2 linked regions of the Canis lupus familiaris genome follow. The protein of the gene in region 2 purifies or fractionates together with the protein of the main gene of each other region. This does not show direct contact. Links are inferred from orthologs where the notes say so. Each region holds a gene or a part of one and is shown on either strand. Other genes may lie near its edges.

Region 1 (3,657 bases), on a different chromosome or scaffold from region 2:
CAAGAGAGACAACGTTTTAATGGCTGGGCCTTGAGGACAACTCTGGTTGCATTTAAATCTCAGTGCCAAATGCACTAAGAGTTCCCTGCCGCTATAATTTTTGGATCAGTCTCTTCAGGAATCAGGCCATGGAGAAAGCAGGATGGTGTCTCCCGATCTCTCTTATAAACCACAGTGGTAAGACAAGATTTCTTTTTGTTCTGGGCTATCACTCCCATGATCGTGTGCTTCCTTTTCCCTCAGGAACCACCCAAGGAAGAGTTAAGGGAAAAGGTCAAAGAACCTCTGCCTTGCCACTAGTACATGCTCTGGAGTTCTGCGGAATGGAAACCCGAACAGATTCATTGGCTGATGTTCCTTAATAACATGAGAAAGAAACTACTGGGGATGTTCAAAAGAGGAAGTGCATTTCCTTTCAGAATATGACCTCAGAAACCCATACACCAAAGCTCAGAGCTACTTTGGAAGACAGCTGTACAAATGTCCAAATACTCTACTAACTCCTGAACTGGACTACTCTGAGTCACTTCCACTTCTGAGCACATCATTTTCCTATTGAAAGCCCCTAGCTTTTACTTGACCATTTTTGACAATTTATACAAACTGATCCCAGATTATATAACCTTTAAAGGGTCTTTTGTACAATTCCATAGAAAGACGTCTGACTCTTGATGCTTAGAGCAGCTAATGAGGAGAGGTGCCTTGGACTCTCCAGCGCCAAGAGGGTGCCTGCGTCAGTAGTATTTTGAACACTCTCTCCACAGCTAACTCAAGCATCAGCCTGGGCTTCAAGGCTCTCTCCACTCTGCTGCTAGGACCAAGGACCTTAAAAGATTGACAGAAGTGCCTCATCCAGGGATCATTATCAAAACCAAAACATGAAGTGATCAGGTGAGAGAAAGGGAGACAGAAAGGTTGAGTCAAGAAAAGAGTACAAGAAGCTGATCCCAAATAAAAAGACAAAATTAAGAAAAAACATTATGTATGTATATATAAACTAAAAGCAGAGCATATGAACGCTTAATCTGGTGGGAAGCCAAGACAACATCTATAGAAAAGCTTGATGTGTCACAACAAGGCTCAGCCATAGGGAAATAAGGCAATATAAAAAAATGACCAAGGTATTTTTGGTCACAGAATGGTCTCCTTCCTCCTCCCAGCCAACCCCTGCAAATGCATCTCTATATATCTTTTATATATATATATATATATATATATATAATATAGAATCTGGTTTTTTTTTTGTTAAAAAGTATTTCAATGATCATATATATTTATCAAGGCATGATGGCTTTAGGAAAGGGGGGATCCATCATGGGGGAGCTGAGAAGGGAAATGCAAGAAGGGAAAGCTGGGGAAAGAAGTGTAAGAAACTGTGTGGGGTCAAACAAATGCTCATAAAGGGTGGCACCAACAGAATTTTCAATAACGTTTCTCACTTCAGGAGGTACTGATGATAATAGATGGATGCCAGGACCCCATCTCTTGTATCCCTCCCCCAATTCTTCCCACCACCATGCATTTTAATGCCTCATGGCTCTCTCTCCCACATGTCTCTTGGACCCATGCTACCTTGTATCCCAGGGTTGATGGGTATGGCCCATATGTCTCTGGCCCCGGGTGCCTGATCTCAGAAGCCATTGCCACTGATATTAATGGACTGCAGATCTGCCACCTGCATGACGTTGATGCCACTGTTGGCAAGACGGGCAATACCCTCTGGACAGATGGCCTCCATGGCTACCATATTGGTGGTAATAAGGGCTGAAGGGGTAGCAGTGCCGCTGCCTTCTGAACCTGCCCCACTGTCCAGGGGCAAAGTGCCCACACTCAGGGATACACCTGGGCCTCCCTTCTTATTCTGGTGGGTCTTGATATGCTTTGACAGGTGGTCACTCCTCATGAAGCGCTTGGGACACTCAGGGCAGGCAAATTTCTTCTCACCTTGGTAAAAGAGAAAGAAGACAAGAAATGAACATCTTACGAAGTAGGGTTACCTTGTCCAATTTACTGCTTTCAAACTATATGGGACAGAATATTAGTCTTAGAAGGTAATAAAAACAAGAAAAATCTGGTATCTTTTTCTTTTTGAGAGAGTGGGGGCAGAAAAATAGGTAAAGGTCAAAGAGTACTAGAAAGGAAGGACTACAGTAGAAAAGTAAGGTAGGACCGAGAAGAATAATGGGGCCATGGTCCTCCTTTAAAATCCCACTGAACACCTAGCTCCTTCCTTCTGAAAGGTTTTCCAGATAAACTCCAATTCGAATCATTTATGTTCCATATATTCACTTTCAAACTTAATTACTCAGAAATTTAATTATTTCATAGATATATTTTGTGTCTTTTTATGCTATTACTATTTCTTTCCTCCCGGGGCTCCTTCTCACCTGTATGTGTGCGTTTGTGTCTTTGTAGTTCATCCGAACGTGTAAAGCGTTTCCCACAGTATGACCAGGTACACATGAATGGCCTCTCGCCTGTATGCCAACGCAAGTGTGCCCGTAGGTGTGAGGTCTTGCCATATACTTTGCCACACCCTTGGATGTGGCAAATGTGCTGTTTCTTTTTGCCGGGATCCCCAGAGCCTCTGAAAATAAGAACACAACTATTCATAATGCATTCTAGAGACAAGAATTAAAGAACCCCAAAATGTTAACATTTATTACCTGACCCACTCAAAACTAACCCAAATTTCTATTTAAAAACAAACACTTCTCTTGGGGCACCTGGTGGGCTCAGTCAATAGAGCAAGCAACTCTTAATCCTGCTGTCATGAGTTCAAGCCCCATGTTGGGGGTGGAGGGAGAGAGGGAAGGAGGGAGGGCAGGCTTCTCTTTAGTACCAAAATATCAATCTTTAGGGGTGCCTGGGTGGCTCAGTCAGTTAAGCATCTGATTCTTGATATAGGCTCAGGTCATGATCTTGGGGTCATGTGACTGAGTCCCATGCTGGGCTCTACGCTCAGCATGGAATATGCTTGAAATTCTCTCTCTCCCTCAACCTTTCCCCTACCCCTGCTCGTACCCTCTAAATAAATAAATAAAACAAAGACATAGATCTTTAGTTGATGCTGATTCTTAATACCCCAAATTCAAGTTTTAAATTTTTTCTCTACTGGATATTTACTATTTCCTGTTTTTCTATTCCTTAATCAATTCTGATGTTTGATGTATGAAGAGATAATTGCTCTCCGGATGACTTGTGAAGTCTGTGAGGCTTCTTGTATTTTTCACAAAGTTTGTCTTAATACAAGCATTTCCTTCCTCCCTCCCTCCCTTCTTTTCCTTTTCTTCTTTCTTCCTTTCTTTTTTCTCTTAAGATTTTATTTATTCATTCATGAGAGACACAAAGAGGGGCAGAGACTCAGGCAGAGGGAGAAGCAGGGAGCCAGATGTAGGACTTGATCCCAGGACCCTAGGATCATGACCTGAGCCAAAGGCAGACGCTCAACTAATGAGCCACCCAGATGCCCCCAAGCATGTTCTTTTTCTTTTTTTTCTTCAAGATTTTATTTATCTATTCATGAGAGACACAGAGAGTGAGGCAGAGACACAGGCAGAGGGAGAAGCAGACTCCCTGCAGGGAGCCTAATGATGTGGGACTCGATCCCAAGACCCCAGGATCATGACCTGAGGCCAAAGGCAGATGCTTCAACCA
Region 2 (3,813 bases):
TCAGTGCACATGCTCACGGCAAAGGCTTAGGGAGCACTCGGGAGATGGGTACCAGTGGCGAGTCCAGGGCCACCCAAACACCACACGCCGCGGGTGCTCTGCCGCTCCGACACGACGGTTTTCGCCCTCGAAAGACCTTCCAAGTAGAGGTCCTGGAGGCAAACTGGGTGGGGTGCGAAAATGGCATGCTTTGGCTGGAACGCGCACCCTCCTTCCACGGCTGTCTCTCAGCCCGGAAGCCTTTTAGCCCGCAGGATTCGCTGCTCTGCTCCCTCACAGGTGCCTCTTCATGTGGAGGGCCAGGTGGTCAGACCTGGAGAAACACCTGCAGGGCAAAGAGGCATCCCACACGTTAGGTCTCCCGCCTTCACAGAGGTTACAGACCCTGTGGCCTGCGCTCCTCCACCCCCAACCCCTCCAGAGGGAAGGTGGGACTCCATGGCCTTCAGGGAGGTTACAGACCCTCTGGCCTGCATGCCCTGACCCCAACCCCTCTAGAAGGGAACGTGGGACTCCGTGGCCTTCAGGGAGGTTACAGACCCCCTGGCCTGTGCTTCCTAACCCCAACCCCTCTAGAAGGAAAGGTGGGACTCCATGGCCTTCAGGGAGGTTACAGACCCCTCCGGCCTGAGCGCCCCGACCCCAATCCCTTCAGAGGGAAGGTGGGACTCAATGGCCTTCATGGAGGTTACAGACTCCCCTGGCCTGTCCTCCCCAACCGCATTCCCTCTAGAAGGGAAGGTGAGACTCTATGGCTTTCACAGAGGTTACAGACCCCTGGCCTATGCTTCCTAACCCCAACCCCTCTCCAAGGGAAGGGAGGTCTGCTCCGAGTCCCAGCCAGCTGGCCAGTCGGTTTTCTGGGGCAGGAAAATTCTAGCTGATGGGAATATACATCGAGGACGCCAATCAGCTTTCAGGAGAATTTCGCCTGACCTCATCATTCAACCATTGGAAGGACTGAAAGCCAGCCTTCTGAAAATATGAAGGAAATGCCTGTAGTCTCACGCACACAGAGCACAGGTCTCCCTAACTGGGGCAGCTGGCAGATTACAGACTCTCTCAAAAAGTCCGAGGCCGAGAAGAGGCGTGCGGGCATGGGACGGGCCACCCTGCCTTCCTCACTGCAGGCCTGTGCCTCTCCGGGGACGGCATTCGGCGCCCCTACGCTTTGTGCACGTACCTGTCACAGTGAGAACATTTAAAAGGCTTGGCACCAGTGTGCTTTCTGAAGTGTCTGGTTAACTCATCGCTTCTTGCAAAACGCCACTCACACCCTTCCCATGAGCATCTGTAAGGCTTTTCTCCTGGGAAGAGAGCACACGACAGGCACACCGTGACTTCGCTGAGGAGGAGGAGGTGTGCAGGGACAGGACGGGGAAGCAGCTGGACAAAGTGGACTCATCCGCGAGCTTGGGGGCCCGGCCTCGGCCCCCCGTGTCACGCCCCAGTGAAGGGCCGGGCGGGCACTCTGGGGGACACCCCGGGGTCCCTTCCTGACCTGGCCTGGGGCCCCCGAGGGCTGTGCAGGGGACCCAGGCCGGGCAGGGCCCACGTGACCAGTAATCAGAGTTACAGCGTAAGAATGACAAATACTCAGACTGGCGAAATACTTCTGAGGTGACGTGTCAGCCCACTGGACCCACAGCCCTGGCGGGGGCAGGGTTTTATTGCTTTCTCCATGGAAACGGTCTCTCTCAAGCACTTACTTTGTTCCTTCCTCACTTCCCTATGGAATGAGGCTTTGTACTTTCCTCCGGGAAACGGCATTTCTCTAAAACTGAGGTCATGAGTTTCTGGGAAACCCCATCCGAAGGCCTTCAAAGCACTTTCTAAATGACAATCAAATGGCCAAACTGACTGCTCCCGGTCGGTCAGAGGATACACACGAACTTAGCTAAAAGTGCTACCCAAGGCCATTCAAGATTTGGCCTCTGCCCGTCCTCGAGCGAGCCGTCGGGGCAGACGGGGACCGGGGTCCTGACGCCAGCAACGCCGGGGACCCTGACCTGAGGGCTCCAGCGTCCCCTCTCGGCCCTGGGGCAGGCCAGAACTTACGGTGACCCCCTCGGCCAGAGCCCCCCTTGCCCTGTGCCCCGGGGACTTTGGGCTTCTGCACCCAGCTGGCCCGGCGTAGAGAACACATGGTCATGCTCCCTTATCTGACCCACCCCAGTCCTTTCAAACGGGGTTTCATCCCAGTCGTGCACTTTGATCGCAAAGTTGTTTGTTTGTTTTTGTTTTTTAAACTGGCATCAGAAACAGAGGCCGCGGGAGACACGGGGAAGCTCCTGGGAAGCGGCCAGGGGCCAGCACATGGGTCCAGCTGCCACCCCTCAGCCCCGCGGACGCCCCCGCCCCCAACCCTCGAGTTCCAGTACAGAAAACCGGAGGCAAGTCCCCGCCACGTGATGCCCGGGCACGCGGGCGATCCCATCCCCGGGAAGGTCGGAGTGAGTGAGGGGTGGGGTGGGGGCGGAGAATGGATTTACCTCGTCTGTTTAATCTGAAAGTCTCACCCGATCCGGGCACACACGTCCAGTCTTTCAGCTCCTACTCTGTCCTCCCCAGAGACCCAACTCTTTTGGGGAAGCATGAGGTGAGGATGTGTCTGCTCTGCCAGCCTCCGGCCGAGCCCCGGCCCCCTCCCAGGGCTGGTGCGATGCAGTGGCGCCCACCAGCGGCCCACCTCCCGCGTCGCAGGAGGGACTGACCTGTGTGAGTGCGCTGATGTGCTTTCAAGTGGGAGCTTTTGGTGTAAACTTTCCTGCAGCCGTTAAAGTGGCAGCGATGCACCCGCCTCCGGCCATCCGGGGAGGCGTCCCCGCTGCCCTTGTCACCGGGCTTCCCCGCAGTCCCTCCGCGCACCTTCCCGGGGGGGTGCAGCTCGCCGGGCACGCAGCCCCACAGGTGAGAGGGCTCCCTGCTCAGTTCCGGGGACGACGGGGGCGTGGAGGTGGCCGACGAGCTCAGGGTCCCCGAGTTGACTAAGACTTCGCCAATGGGGTCGGAGGTAAATTTAGTGGTGGGAGAAAGTTCCTCGGAGCTGTCGGAGGACTCGCTGCTCACGTCGGAGTTCAGGCTGTTGGTCTCCAGGTTGTAAGCAAAGCCGGGGCTGTTCAGAGCATCCTCGGGGGGGCTGGAGGAAAGCTTCAGGTCCGGGTCCTCCTTTTTCTCCCGAGCCAGGATGATTTTGGTCCACAGATCCTCCTGGCTGTCGAACTTGATTTCGGAGGCTGACACATAGCAGGGTTCGCTCTGGAGGTAGCGTTCCAACTCCAGGCAGGTCTGTGCGGAAGGAACCACAAGAAGACACGTGATCGTGATGACAACGAACCGTGTAACCGAAAAGAAAAAAAAAAAAAAAGCACATTTCCAAAAACATGCAGGAATCAAGGGCAAACAGACTGTGGCCGTGGAGCTGGCTGCACCATCGCGTCTCTAGGAGAGCGAGGGGAAAGCGGTTTCTAGGAATGGAGGCGCTTTCCGGAGAAGGGCCCCCGCAGGCCGGACCAGTGGCCACAAGGGCTGCCGGTCACTGGGCTGTCTTTGCCTTGGTTACCAGCAGTGACGTGACTACCGAGTTTCTGTAAACCACACAGGGAACACCGGCCTCAGGCACGTGCTCCCGAGACGGGCTTAAGCAGATGACCTGACAGTCTCGAGAGACATCCCTGCGCATCAAGGAAGGCTCGGGCCACCCTCCTCGGTGGCGCACGAGACAGAGAGGCCGCGGTGCACGCGAGGCAACGTGCCGTGACATTGCATGGGTCTTTCTTTAGAGACACGGGGGCCGGGAGCCCGGGGCCACAC

The links.
Region 1: the proteins of KLF6 (region 2) and SP1 purify together in Homo sapiens (affinity purification with western blotting, with the first as the bait; 3 studies listed by BioGRID). This does not show direct contact. The link is inferred for Canis lupus familiaris from reciprocal best matches to the Homo sapiens genes KLF6 and SP1.

Annotation. Positions count from the first base shown.
Region 1 is NC_049248.1:44,843,437-44,847,093, reverse strand, and holds part of SP1 (transcription factor Sp1), read right to left. Parts: intron 2,588-3,657; coding exon 2,388-2,587; intron 1,945-2,387; coding exon 1,631-1,944; 3' UTR 1-1,630. UniProt on the Homo sapiens protein: Transcription factor that can activate or repress transcription in response to physiological and pathological stimuli.
Region 2 is NC_049223.1:30,691,781-30,695,593, reverse strand, and holds part of KLF6 (Krueppel-like factor 6), read right to left. Parts: intron 3,289-3,813; coding exon 2,715-3,288; intron 1,308-2,714; coding exon 1,184-1,307; intron 326-1,183; coding exon 274-325; 3' UTR 1-273.